3 linked regions of the Coturnix japonica genome follow. The protein of the gene in region 2 interacts with the protein of the main gene of each other region in a biochemical or structural test. Links are inferred from orthologs where the notes say so. Each region holds a gene or a part of one and is shown on either strand. Other genes may lie near its edges.

Region 1 (4,911 bases), on a different chromosome or scaffold from region 2:
GCAGAAGCCTCCTACTGTTGCACCATGAAATGAAATACCTAGGCGTGGAGGTTTGTTTTGCTCTTAGGAAAAAAAAAAAAAGAAAAAAAGAAAAAAAAATCAGAACTATAAATAAGTTTAGTGGCAATATATACAGATTTAAATAATTAATTTAAATATCTTACACCTACTCTTGCATAAAACTCTCCAGTAAAAGTGCACCACGTTTCTCTTTTCCCAGATGTGTTCTGAGTCTTCCCCTGTGCTGAGGTAGGTCGGAAGGGAGATGTCTCAGATTCTAGGAAGAAAATGTGTCACCGTCATTGTGGGAGATACTTTATTGCCTTTCTTTGTTCTTCCGTTTTTGCTCAGGGCTATGTACATCCCGGGATAAATCCTGGATTCGTAAGCATTGTAGTTGTTTGGCAGGAGGATCTCTTTGAATTTGCACTCGTCATTGAAATGGGTCTGAAATGAAAAGGAAAGAATGAGAGGGAAGGAATTTTAAACATCAGGTGCAGAAATATTCTTGCTACCAGGTGTAGTAGGTGTGCTGCAGTAAACGGTGCAGCTGACATCCCCCCCTTCCCTTAGTAATCTTTTGAAGTGGTTGTCCAAAGGAAGCTTCAAATGACACTCAGAGAATTACTAAGGGTGCTGCTTCCCAGCCAGGCACAGACACGTGGAGGATGGAAGGACACCCTGTAACTCTGCCTGTGCTCTTGAGAGAAAGAGGTCCATTTTAACAGAGGGCACTGCATTCAGGAATGACCCAGGTGCTGTTCTGCTGCCCTGCTCATCCTCTAGGTTGGCGGATGAGTTTTCCTCATGAAAAAGAAGGGGAAAAGAAGCTGTCAGACATGAGTAATGACAGTTATGAGTTGTAACCGGTGCTCATGTCCCCATGTCAGAATGCAAGGGCCCACAGATATTTCTGAGTCTGCATACCAGTAAATTTACTTGGTTCCCAAACCAGTGGTTGTCCTAGCAATGAATTCCCTGATAGGCTTCAGAAAAAAAATCTGAATGTTAGCACTTTCTCATTTTGTTTGAAGGGAAAGGGGTATTTTAAAGATGCTCAGCATGGACAGTATTTTCTGCACCTTCAGTTTTAAAACTGAAGGAAGGGTTTAGATTTATCTGTGTTAATGGATCAGGAAGACAGAGCTGACAGAAGGCATGTTTCTAGTAAAGGGCTTTCACATGCAAGTACAAAGAGGGACAGGTGTTACAGGTGTGTCATACAGGCAGTAACAAATGAAGTCATCTCTTGTTAGTGGGCAGAAGTTGATAGTTTTGTAAGATAGGTCTCAGCTTGCCAGGCTGAACGCTGCATTGAAAATTGCTTTATCCAAGACACCAAAGCATCATATTGTCTCCTTTAGGCTTGGCACAAAGGGAGCTCTTGCACTTTGATGACTAGTCATTCCTGGCTTTCATGTAAGTCAAAATCCTCTGTGACAGGACGGATGCCACAGAAAATAGCTCTGGATAATTCAAGTCTTTATGCATGTGAATATGCCCTAGTCAACTTTGACATAATTTGGCCCTTTTTTCAAAACATTCCTCAGAGACATGAAATACAAAATCCATGGGTAGGGAAGGAAATTCAAGAACACAGGATTGAAATTATGCTTTAGCTTACATATAGGTGAACTCAAAAGCAGAAGGACAGCTCAACATGGGTTAAGATGTGCACTGTTACCGTCCATCCAATGTGTTTTAAAACATGCCACTATTTTTTCAACAGATTAAATGTAATAGAAGCTTTGCATTGTATCTTAATAGATCTGCCTTCCTATAACTAAGAACCTGCACCCTGAAGATGCTGAACTCTCATGGGAGCTCTCCAATCAAGAGTATCACAAGGAGTGATCAATAGGTATGTGACAGGCACTGATTAATCACACCACAAAGGATCATTTGTGGGGCCCTGGCTTCCAGCACCATGTACATCTCTCATTCCAGGCCACCACGGTCCCCTCCCCAGGCACACAACTGGTGGCTACTTACAGATCCATAGAGTTTGCCTTTGCTATTCATGGCCACGAAGAGTCCACTTCTAACACCAAATATGCTCACCACTCCTCTTTCCACAGGGGAGATTTCCAGCAGACCTACAGAAGAGACACAGGAATCAGGGGGACAAAGGGTTGTGCCCTGAGGGATTGTGTGATATCAGTTCTGCACTCGTTCAAAGATTCCCATCCCCAGTGTGGCATGGATCCCTGTGCCCCAGCACTTCTGTGGGTGGCCACAGAACCCCAGCCTTGTGCCTCACGTGCTGCCCCATGCACCATGCTGGGACCTCTCTTCTTTTAGCTAAGTATCTATTTTTACATTGCCCCCAGGCATCCTCCTCTGTAGCTAAGGTTAAAATAAGCTAGAGTGTGCTTGGGGTGTCCGAAACATTTGTCATCATGCAGCTTATATCCCCCCCCTTGGATCTTATTGTTTCAGTTGGATATCAGAGTCACGGGGCCATGGGGTTAAGACTCTAGCAGATGCTTTTCAAGTCTGAGGGAGAGCTGGGCCCTGGCTGAGTTCTTCCCAGCCCCTACTCAAGTTGGGCGGCCCGCGGGCCCGAGGACCCTCCAGATGTTGAGGCTGCCCCTACACCTGATGCCTGCTGGCTGCGAGGGGACAGCGCGACCCGCGGGGCGGCCGCATGGAGCGCTCTATGAGCTCCGCCGCCGTCCCGTTCTCTCGGGCGCAGGACGCCCTCGGGGCAGCCGGTGCGGACGGACTTCTCTAGGCGTTTGGAGGTCTGCCCCAAGCCCACCCTCCCTTTAACTCACACCGCAGTTAGGTGAGGTGAGCCGCTCCGCACCAGCAGAACCGTCAGAGAAGCGGTTCCGCGGGTGCGGAGCTGCTCACCAGCCCGGCTGCGGGGGTCGGTGCCGGCTTACTGTATCGGTTTTCGCTGTGGATCCCATCGATGCGGCCGTCGGGCAGGACCTGGATGTGGAAACCGATGCCCACGTTGCAATAGAGACGCCGCAGCCGCTTGATGCCCAGGAGGTAGTCGCCGTCGCGGGCGGCATCGCGGCGCTCGGCCGGGAGACGCGCCACGGAGCGGGCGAAGAGAGCCGCGTCCCAGCGCCGCTGGCGGGGCCCGGCGGGGAGGCGGCCCGGGGGCGGCCGGCCGCGCACCGCCCCCGGCCACAGCAGCCCCAGGAGCAGCGCCGGCAGCAGCGCCGCGGGGAGAGGCATCCCGGCTAGCGGCGCTCAGCCACGGGCCGGCGGCCGGTCGCTCCGAAAAGGCGCTCGGCCCCCAGCTCCCGCTTTATAGTGAGGTCAAAGCGGAGGGGAGAAAAATCAAAACAAAACAAAACACACACACGGAAAAAAGAAAAAAAAAAAAAAGAAAGAAAGAAAAAAAGAAAAAAGAGAAAGAAAAAAAATAAAAAAAGAAAAAGCGAGCCGGGAGGAAGGAGGCAGCCCCGCGCTCAGTCCCCTGAGGATCGGCAGTTTCCCTGGGCAGGCTGCATGAAGAGGAAATCCCAGGAGCAAGAGCTTCTGAACTTGATCTCAACTCCAGGAGTCTTGTCTGAAGTGCTGATCTTCTATAGCTGCTCAGCCATAGCGCTTTAGCCCTAGCCACGATATTTATATATCCATGTGCGTTGGTACCTATTACATCACCACCTACTGTGCAGGCCCTCGGTTTTTAGCTCAAAGTCAAATTATCACCCCTAGATCTTAACACTCCGAAGCGCTTCAGTGGGAAAGGGTTGAGCAAGCACTGGCACTAAACAAGAGGGACAGCAAACAAACTTTTTAAAAGAAAAGGTCATATTCTGCATTAATCACAAAGTTGTTTTTCCTTCCCTTTTATGTTTCTCTTTCCCTTTATTTCCCTTTCCTTTCCTCTTTCCCTTTCTCCTTCCTTTCCTTTCTCTTTTCTTTTCTTTTGTACTCTTTCTTTTTCTTCTTCTTCTTTGTCTTCTTCTTTCTTCTTTTTTTTTCTTTTTGTTCTTTTTTTCTTCTTTTTTCCCTCTCCTTCCCTTTCCTTTTTCTTTCTTCCTTTATTTCTTCTATTTTGCTATTTTTATCACCTGTCCTTCTCTCTCACTCCTCTTTCTTCTCTGTATTCCTCCTCCTTTCTCTTCTGCTCTCTCTTCTCTTTCTTCTCTCTCTTCTCTTCTCTTCTCTTCTCTCCCTCTTCTTTTCTCTCTCTTCCTCTCCCCTCCCTCCTCTCTCTCCTCTCCTCTCTCTCTCCTCTCCTCTCCTCTCCCTCTCCCCTCCTTCCTCTCCTCCTCTCCTCTCCTCTCTCCTCTCCTCTCCTCTCCTCTCCTCTCCTCTCCTCTTTTATAAGTGCTTACAAATGCTAACACAGGACACAAAAGTCAGAGAATGCCCAGCACACTTTCCTCTCCCAACACAATGTATGACTTTGTGGAAATCTGTGGAATTTCAGCTTTTGCTGTAACCAAGCGACATGGTTTACTGTTTGCTGGATGCAGAAAAATTCCCTTCATTAACAGCCAAAATAGTTGTTGCATGGGAGGTTTACAAAATGAAAAATGAAAGAGAATGCAACAGCAAAAACAACAACAGAAAAGAAGAAAAGTAAAGAAAAGTAAAGAAAAGAAAAGGATCAAAGAAAGAAAGAAAGGAAAGAAGGAAGAAGGAAAGAAAGAAGAAAACAATAAGGAAAAGACCGAGGCAGAAAACTGTTAAAGAATCAGTAGAAGCTTGAAAGCAGTAATAACATTTTTGGTTCTAAATATCCCTTTAAGAAGCCAGAAAGCACAGCATTGCTCTGGGGTAGAGGACATGTGGGGCTCCTTCTTGGTCACTATGTTGATAGGGACAGGAGTGACAGTGAGCAGTTTGTTCCTGGTCTTTAGAGGCTGCCCATGCACATCAGCGTTGCTGCATTTTTTAATCGTATGACTATTCCGTATTCTTTGTTGTGCATGTACTTAG
Region 2 (4,405 bases):
TACACCTTCAGGGATCCAAAGGACGAGTGCACCGCTGCCTGCTGCCCCCTGCCTCTCACCCAGCTCCTCCAGGACAGCCCAGAGCAGAGCAGGTAGGGCTGGTGGGGCTCCAGATGCCTCGATGCCACCTTACATGTCCCCAGCTGTGCCCAGGGAGAGCACTGACCCCATAGAGACCCGGGCTGAGGCAGCCCGGTGTGTGTGCAGCGTTACCTTTAGGATCTGCACGTAGGGCAAGTTGTCGGGGCCGATCTTGCTGCCGTTCACCTCGATGTGTTTCAGCCATTGGATGTGGGGCTGTGGGTCACTGTAGACCTTGCAGACGAACTCCACGTTGCTGCCCAGGGCCACTGTTTTGTTGGCTGGGAGCCCTGCCTGCAGGATGGGCCGGTGCGGGGAGCGCTCTGCAGGGATGGAGGGATGGGGACCTCAGCACGAGCAACCCACATCCACAGGGGTCTCATCCCAAAGGGGTCTCATCCCACAGCCCCACAGAGCCAGGTGACATCCCAGCACAGGGACATTGCTATCTATTCAAGGGCCAGAGGTCAAACAAACCTAATGAGGGCCCCAGCCGCTGCCACTGTGGTGAGTCAGCATTAACAAACCCCTTTGTTCACCTCGCTGACTGTTCCCTTCAGTTTGCTCAGTGTAATCAAATTAAATCACATTCTTAATGGTTCATTTACTGGCATTTAGAGCAACTCCACATGTGGAACTGCTCAGACCAGCCTTCCCAGCTGGGAATTATGGCTAATAAGGCGATTAGAAAAAGTTTCTGTCTGGTCTATGAAATTACTTCCATCACAATTAAAAAGCCCCAGAAGGGTTCGAGGTGAACCTCGTGGGCGCAGCACCCACTGCTGTGTGGGAGGCAGAGCAGCCCCAGCACCATCCTCACCCACAACATCCAGCTGGTAGGTGTGGTTGATGCTCCCATATTTGTTCTCCACGATGCACGTGTAGTTGCCCTTATCTGATGGCACCACCGAGTCCATGATGATGCTCCACGTGGCATAGCGGACCTGGGGCAAAAGGATGGGGGTGGTGGGTGAGATGTGTGCACATCAGAGCATCTCAGCCCATTGGCACAGCATAAATCTTTTCATGGTCAACTTTCCCCTCTCCTACAGAGGGACCATAATTGCTCCCACCTGTCCCAGGAGCACCACCCTGAGTGGCACAAAGGGAACAGCACCCACATCCATGTTCTGATGGCACGCTGGCAATGCCCAAAGCCTTGAGCTTCCATCCCATTCTCCACCAGGGCTCTGCACACAGATGGGGAGCACCAGCACCCTGCTGCCCTGGGGGGCACATTGAGCCCAAACACTCCAGGCTGCACCAAGGCTCTGTAAGCAGAGCAGCTCTTCTTCATCCTCCTTCTCCCACAGTGCAGTGCTGGATGTGGGAGTTGTGCGGTGCTCCCAGGGCTGCCCCGACCATCCTGGCTCAGCTCTGGGATTAGTGCAGCCAGGCTGGGCTCATCCCCCTCCCCTCCCCCAAAGGTTAAGGCTGCTGCAAACATGACCAAGAAGCAGGTCACTGCCGTGGGTCTATTTTGCAACAGGAATGTCAGGGGGCCCATCTGCCCTTCCAGAGGCACGCGGCTGCACCAATGGGCGGCTCGGGGCCTCTGAAACCCATTCATTTCCCCTCCTCCCACATTGACCCCCAGGCATTGACCACACGGATTGACCACTCTGTACCTTGTACCCCCCAATGCGGTGGTCAGGTTTGAACTCCTTGCCATTCTTCAGCCAGCGCAGTGTGGGGTTGGGCGTCCCACCTGAGGGGCACTTGAATTTCACTGTTTTGGCAGCAGGGACGGCATGCAGCTTCTTCTCCATCTTCTCGGGATAGGTCCAGTAAGGAGCTACAGCCTCTGCAGGGCACAAAGCAGCAGGATCAGCCACAGGGAGCACTGATGTTTGCTCATGGTTAACATAGGGCAGGACTGGGGTGAGGCGCACATATCCCTGGTACATCCCCACACCCCAACCAGGCTCCACCAGGGCTGCAGCAGGACTCTGCCTCTCCTCTCCTGTCTCTCAGCCCCTGGATGCCGCTCACATGCACACCTGGCTTCCCTTCACCCCCACCCATAGGCAAACCCAACCCACACGTACGGTTTGGCTTGGTGTTATCTGCCTCCTTCTCCTCCGAGGAGGAATCGTCTTCATCATCATCATCCTCTGCAGAAGGGAGCGCATCTACAAGAGAAGAGACCCCCAGCTCATAACATTGCACAGACCCCTCCTGTTCTCCTGTGCACCGTGCTGACACATGGCATGAGGCCCTGAGAGAACACTGCATGGCTGGAGCACAGAGCTCAGGGAGCAGTTTGCCCCCAAGGCTGACTTTGGGCACAGGAAAGCAGTGCCCACACTGTGCTGCCAGGCACATCGGGACACCCATCCATCCGGGGTCCTGCAAACAGAGGAAGCCCCGACCCTCAGTCAGCCCTCATTCCTCACCACTGTGCTTCAGATCCACCAAAGAAAACCTCAGCTCCAGCTCACCCGGTGCTCAGTTCCATGCAGACTCACATGTCCCCACACATGCATTGCCACCGTGGAAGAACACTCATGGACTCAATGGGTGCAGAGGGTGCTGGCCACCAACTGTGCAGCTCTGAGCAGAAAACCCAGCAATGCTGACCCCGCTGCAGTGCTTTGTGTTGATACATCCCCACGCTGAGCCATTAGGGCACAACCACCCCATATTGCACAAAGTTGGTGGCGCATCCCATGCGTGCAGGGCTGCACCCCACTGAGCTTGGCAGCCAGCATGCAAGGCGTGCACACAGGCACACTGCTCCTCGGTGCTGCCCCCCTGGCACCGCTACGAACCTGAGACGTTGACGGAGAAGTAGGTGGTCTCACTCCCTGAGGGGCTGTTGGTCATGCAGGCATAGAGCCCTGAGTCCTCGGGCACCGCATCCCGCACCTCTACCTCCTCTCCAGTGATGCGCGTGCGGTTGTTCTCAGGCAGCTGAACTCCATCACGCACCCAGTTGATGCTCTGCACGTCATCGCGCAGCCGGCAGCGCAGCTGGAGGAGGTCGCCAGGGTGAGCAGAGTGGGATTCCACCTCGATGTTGGCTTTGGGCAGAGCTGGAGGAGTTTGGGAGAGAGGAAGAAAAGGAGAAAAAAAAGAAAAGAAATAGAGACAACGGGACACCAGGCTGCTGAGGGCTGGGTTAATCAGGCAACATGCGCTGCGGGATATTGGCTGAGGGACAGGGGTGGACCCTGAGCACAGCCACACTGAAAGCAACCAAAGCAGCCCCAAGGCACAGCCGTGGAGCCCAAAGCTACGCAAGCGCCTTCAGTCTCCTGCCAAGCGCTGCAGAAGGGGGTTGAGATGGGGAGGAATTTGCAACCTGAGGCACACTGGGCAGAGCTGGCAGCAGGGCAGGATGAGGAGCACCAAACCCTGCACGGCTCGACCCCAGGGTCTCCCTGCCCAGCAGCAGACAGCCAGCAAAGCAGGCCGGGACCCCCTGGCTCAGCACCAGGCGGTTACAGGGCTATGCTGGGGCAGCAGGCAGAGAGCAGGGCTCAGTGACAGTGCTGGAAGCTCAGCCTGGGGGCTGCAGACAGGTGGGGGCTGTCGGGTGCTCCCTGCCCGTAGCCATCCTGCGACGTCCTTCCATCAGCACAATGATCCAATCCATCCCAGCACTGTTCTCTCCTGGTCATCGATGTTGTTTTCTCCTCACCCTGCGGTGCTGCATGAGGATCCTGCACTGGGTGCAACCATCTGGGTTCCCAGCAATCCCTCCCAGTGCTCACACTCAGCCTGGTGCACTGTCTGCCCTCCTTCCTGTGTCAGCTCTGCTCGCACACCTCTGCTGCTATCTCCATAGGGTGTGTTCTTCCTGCTCCTCACTGGGCAGCCCTGCATGGGCTGAGCCTCCTCTGCTCATTCCATCTCATCATGTTGACTTTCCAGGTGGAGATCCCAAAGCAAATCCTCAGGGCCTGCTCCCTGCATGTGTCACCTCCAGGGCCTTTCCAGCTGCAATCCGGTGCTTCCCAGGGACTTCACATCATCCAGTGAAGGCATTCCAGCCCCAACCATGCACACATCCATCAGCTGTGCTCAGAGCGGAGTGATGGAGAGCCAGTGTGCAGCTCCAGAGGCTCAGGTGCAGCCCTACCACTTCTCACTCCTCCTGCAGCCCTCACATATCTGAGCATCTTCAGAGGGACACCATCCACCGACAGCTTGTGAGTTCCTATGAACTCCTCCATGAGAACAGCATGTGGCAATGAGCTCAGCACCCTCCTTGATGGCAACAAGGGCCAGAACCAGGGCTGGAAGTTCCACTATGAGGTTACAGAGTCCTGCAGGTTGCGGGGGGGAAGAGCTCATCTTTTGCACATCCAATTTCCCCTTG
Region 3 (4,895 bases), on a different chromosome or scaffold from region 2:
CTGACCCCGCTGTTCTCCCTTCACAAACCCCCACACACTCCAAACGATCCTAATGATTTCTGCTCAACCAACAGGACGGAAACCATCAATCGGCACACAGCACTGAGGACACCTCCCAGCCCCCCCCTTAGCCCCCCCGGCCGCGTCCTTCCTTACCGTGCACATCCCCGTCCTCTGCCATCGCATTGATTTTCTTGTTGTCCAAGATCTGCACGTGCTTCCCGCTGGTCCGGCTGTACAGCTGGTAGGTGCGCACGAGCCGCCGGCTGAGCTGATCTGTCACCAGGCTCTGCTCCCTCACATGCTGTGTAAAATTAGGTGGGGACTGAACAGTTACCTTTAGGAAATTAAAAAATATACGACACACCATTATAATCTCTACTCCTCAGAGGGGAGAACGGGCTGAGCAAGGATCACCAGCGCCTGCAGAGGAGGAGCAGAGTCAGTGGGACGGGGGGGAGCTGAGCCCTTTGGGGACCGGGATCCCCCAGATGAGTGTGGGTGTCTTGGGGACATGAAGGAGCTCAGGGACTCCCAGTGTCCACTAGGACTCAGTGGGTCCCAGCTCATATGGAGGTACCTGAGATGGGGTATGCAGCTTCCAGGACCCCCTTTCCCCAAAACACCCTGCTCTTCATGCCCCAAACCCACAGATGAGGTAGAGCTATGAGCCATCAAGACTCCACTCCCCTCACGGGGTATCTATAACACAAACCCCAAGGAGTACCGTTACCGACGTGTGAGCCATCCTTCACCTTCACCCCCATCCCGGTGCCATCCCCATCCCAGTGCTGACCCCCGGCCCCATAGCAGCAGCCGACCCAACTCCTCCAGACCCTCTGCTCCCCAGACACAAGCAATTCAGCCCGATCCGCTTCCCCCATCCCCAGCACAGGGCTCCTTTCCCTTCTCGTCTCCATCCCCTCTTTTAAGTCCGGAAAGTTTCGCTGCTCACTGACATTTATAAAGACGTATTCTGAGCAAATGTTAGCGGGTCGATCCTTTCAACACCAGCAGGCCGGGACCCCCCCGCTACCCCCACGTCAAACGGGAAGATTCCCCACCACCAGCAGACCCCAATAAAAGCCGGAGCCGCCGCTCTCCCGCAGCCGCCCCTACACCGACATTTCCCCTCTCCAGTGCCACCCCTCTGCCTCCGCGCCTTTCCTTCAGCCGCCTGCGGATAACGCACGGACTCTCCCGGCCCTGATGAGGGTACCATGTGGAGGAGAGGTCATTAGCCGTGCCGCTCCGTCTCGTCCTCCAAAATATTACAGCTATGTTTTATACAACCGCACACTCCTTTTTGCTTTGGGGCTGGAAACTCCATTTTTTTTTTTTTTTCCTCCTGAGCTTCCAATGAAATAATCATAACAATAATAATAATAAAAAGCGGCTTAAGGAGCGTTTTCAAAACGCTTCTGCACCTGTGGCCTCGGGGGAGGGGGTTTCACCCCGCTTTGCACACACAGCCGCAGCCCCATCTCCTGCTGACACTCCTGGCCCCGGCGATGCCAACCAGCAGCAGCAACGTTCAGCTGGACTGAAATCTACGCTTTTTAGTAAGGAAATGGACTTTCTTTCCCTCCTTCCCCTTTTCCTTCCCTTTTCTCTTTTCTTCCTCTCCTCCCCCCCACCTTTTCCTTTATTCTCCCCTTTTTTCTTCCTCCACCCCGACGCTTTTATCTCGATTCTACTTTACTTTTCAGATGAAAAAACACCCCCACACGAGAGGAAGGGCCGATCCGTAGTGCGATTTGAAGAAGAACGGGAGGACCGAACGGCCGAAGCCCCTGCAACCAGGGTGGGCGAGGGGTCCTCCCACCCCCGCACCCCATCCCGCAGCCGGTGCGCAGCCGCCCGCTCCCGGCTCTTTCCAGCGGGGCTCGCGTCGTCTGAGGGACTTTAAGCCAACCCCCCGTCCCGACCCCCAGCCCCGAGGGGCGAACAAAGCCGGCGGCGGAGCGGGAGCTTACCTGGGCTTGCAGGCAGAGGACGAACAAGTGCATGAACCTGGAGGGGGGGGTGGACAGAAAACGGGAGAGAGATGTGAGCCGGGGGGCTGCGGGGAGGAAAGGAGGGAGGGCTGGGGGCAGGCGGAGGGAGGGCTGCGGTACTCACACGTAGCTGAAGAGCGAAGAGCAGGGGTCCATAGCGGAGCGCTGCGGGGCCGGCAGCCCGGAGCCCGGCGGTGGGGTGGGGGCGCGGCTCTGCTCGGCTCCTCGACTCCTCTCGCCCTGCCTCGCCCCGAGGAAAGGAGGGCACAAGCGGCTACAGAAGGGGAAAGGCCCCCGCCGGCCCGCCCGCCCAGCCCCCGGGGGAGCGCGGCCGGCAGCCCCCCGCCGCGGGGAGCCCCCCGCCCCGCTCCGCTCCGCTGCCGGCCCGGGAGGCGGCGGGGGCGGAGAGCCCGGGGGGCGGCCCCGGCGGAGCAAGGGAACCTCCGGCAGCGGCCGCTCGGGGGTGGCGGCACTACGGGCTCGGCCGGCGGAGGGATGCCGTCCCCGCGCCGTGCCTCAGTTTCCCCATCTGTAAAACGTGGCTTACGGGTCCGCGTTGTGGATTGGGGCCGAGCCCTCTCGCTGGACGTGCCAGACATTAAAAGGATTACCGGGGCGGAGGGGTGGGCAGGAGTTTCGAGAGGCTGAGCAAACAGCGCAGCCGGGGGTACTGGGCGGCGGGACCCCCCCCTCTTCCCTTCCCTTCCCCGGACGTCCCCGCCGGGCTCTTACCTGGAGGGGCGGCCGTCCGTCAGCACCGGCTGCGCGGGGCCATGGGGCCGCGGCGGGTCGGGGCTCAGCCCCGCAGCCCGGGTAGGGCCGCCGAGGGCTGCATTGTTCGGCGAGCCCCGTTGCTCCCGGCCCCGCCACCTGTTGCGCACCGGGGCGGGGGCTGCGGCGGGGCTGCGGCTGACGGGCGGGACCCCGGGGCCGGTACCTGGCCGGGGCCGCCTGCTCCGCGCTGAGTGACAGCCGCTAATTTGCCGGCCGTGCCCCGCTGCCGGTCCCCGCGCTCCCCGCGCCCTCCTTTATCTTATCAGAGCCCATAATTACAATTGCTATTTTGTTTCCTCGAATCAGCAATCAGCGCTATCTGCCGCCGCTGGAAAGGCAGCTCCTGTCAGCCGGCCTCTGAGTGACAGCGCACACACAGCGCTCCTGCGCGGCCCTCCCGCACCGGCACACGCACACACACACACACACATACACACACACACACATACACACACACACACACACACACACACACACACACACACACACGCACACACACACATACACACACACACACACACACACACACGCACACACGCACCCTGCAGCCCCGCACAGCCCTCCCTGCCCTGCCCGCACACCGCAGCTTGCTCATTCCCCCCTTGCTCGGGCACCCTCCAATGCTTTGCCCCCAAACGCTGCCCACCATCACCCCCCGAGGCTCACCCACCACCAGGCGCTGGGAGCGGCCACCACACCTTGCTGCCCCCTTCTTCTCTGTGCAAAAGACCGGAGGATGTTTCTGAAGGGCTTTCCTGAATGGCTGGAGAAGCCCCAGGCTGGGCCCGCTTTCACCCAGGGGGCTGCAGGGCGGGCTCTGGGGGTGCTCAGCCCCCTGCACCAACCCAGGGTGCAAGGCAGCTCCGTGCCCACAAGCTGAGCACCAGAGCAGGCAGCACAAGGTGCTCCCACCACCCTGCAGTGGAGCAATCCTTCCTTTCTTATACATTGCAAGGAAAGGGGTCTGGATGCAGCACCTCTCTCCCAGATGCCACTCGTGCTCACCCCTCCGTGGGCGCAGGGTCAGGCCATGCAGCACCATGCAGTGCACAGAGCGCACAACTGCACCGTGTCCAACTGATGCTGTGCTGGGGGGTGGGAGGCAGCCGGGGGCTGACAGCTCCACGTGCCCCCTGCCCTCAACAAACAGGCTCGAGTGGCAGCACGGCTGTGACACGGGGATCACCCACGGGCGGCCGCACGTCACCGACACAATGACAAACAGGCTCCTGCTGCTGCCCCGTCCTTCCCCAACTTTGTGCAGGTGAGCAATGCCACGGGGCGGGGAGCTGAGCACTGGGCTCACGTCTGGCTCTCCTGCTGGGCAGAGAAAGCTCAGCCTGAGGCACTGGGCTGAGCTGCCATAGGGCGGGGGGAGAAATCCCGTCCCAGCAAGGAGCCACGGATCTGCGGTGTTCCTGCTGCCACAGCGGTCACTCCTGGGGCAGGCAGCCAGCACGGCCCCATCGGGTCTCAGTACTGAATGCTGTGAGTGAAGCATCAAACACCCACAGAGATGTGAGCTCTGCTCTCCTTTTCCATAGAGCTGGGGATACTCAGGTCAGGATTTTATCCCCCAGATCACCCTCTTGCCTTGCCATGGCTAATGGAGATTGCCCAGGAAGGCAGCCTGTGGTCAGGCTGCTGGTGGTTGAAGGAGATACCAGGGCTGCCCCAGCTGGGCTGAACCACGGAGCAGACAGCAGACGGGCCGTCCTGCTCCTCTGTTTGCTCCATCACACAACATCCCTGACAGCCTCCACAGCTCAGCAGTGTCCCTGCTCCAGCACCGTCTCTACCCACAGCCCTGAAGAGTGAGCAAGTCAGCCCAGAGGGGCCCCTTCTGCCAGAGAAGCTGTGGCTGCAGTTCCCCACAACCCCCCAGCACTGCTGGTACAGGGATCACAGCACCAACCCCAGCTGATGGAGGAGAGCAGCACCTGCAGGGGGCACTTCAGCACCCATCTGAGGGTGAGAGGAGCTCCTGGCTGCAGGTCTGGATGCTCGGCCACACATCTCCAAGCAGGCACACAGAGACCCCCCCCAGCGGAGCCAAAGGGACACCACTCCCCCTGCTCTCACCCTCCCCATTCCTGCCCGCAGCATTAATGGGGCGTTGTGGAG

The links.
Region 1: the proteins of FGFR1 (region 2) and FGF4 form a complex in vitro, tested with the Homo sapiens proteins (2 studies listed by BioGRID and IntAct, with this or other methods). The link is inferred for Coturnix japonica from reciprocal best matches to the Homo sapiens genes FGFR1 and FGF4.
Region 3: the proteins of FGFR1 (region 2) and FGF8 interact in a biophysical measurement, tested with the Homo sapiens proteins (2 studies listed by BioGRID and IntAct, with this or other methods). The link is inferred for Coturnix japonica from reciprocal best matches to the Homo sapiens genes FGFR1 and FGF8.

What each region holds. Positions count from the first base shown.
Region 1 is NC_029520.1:7,212,912-7,217,822, reverse strand, and holds FGF4 (fibroblast growth factor 4), read right to left. Parts: upstream 3,193-4,911; coding exon 2,889-3,192; intron 2,097-2,888; coding exon 1,993-2,096; intron 1,862-1,992; exon of another isoform or gene 1,768-1,861; intron 448-1,767; coding exon 271-447; 3' UTR 170-270; downstream 1-169. UniProt on the Homo sapiens protein: Plays an important role in the regulation of embryonic development, cell proliferation, and cell differentiation. Required for normal limb and cardiac valve development during embryogenesis.
Region 2 is NC_029537.1:3,713,622-3,718,026, forward strand, and holds part of FGFR1 (fibroblast growth factor receptor 1), read right to left. Parts: intron 3,117-4,405; coding exon 2,853-3,116; intron 2,214-2,852; coding exon 2,130-2,213; intron 1,886-2,129; coding exon 1,710-1,885; intron 1,026-1,709; coding exon 902-1,025; intron 405-901; coding exon 214-404; intron 1-213. UniProt on the Homo sapiens protein: Tyrosine-protein kinase that acts as a cell-surface receptor for fibroblast growth factors and plays an essential role in the regulation of embryonic development, cell proliferation, differentiation and migration.
Region 3 is NC_029521.1:19,853,594-19,858,488, reverse strand, and holds the start of FGF8 (fibroblast growth factor 8), read right to left. Parts: upstream 3,193-4,895; 5' UTR 2,730-3,192; intron 2,238-2,729; 5' UTR 2,154-2,237; coding exon 2,122-2,153; intron 2,014-2,121; coding exon 1,977-2,013; intron 338-1,976; coding exon 157-337; intron 1-156. UniProt on the Homo sapiens protein: Plays an important role in the regulation of embryonic development, cell proliferation, cell differentiation and cell migration. Required for normal brain, eye, ear and limb development during embryogenesis.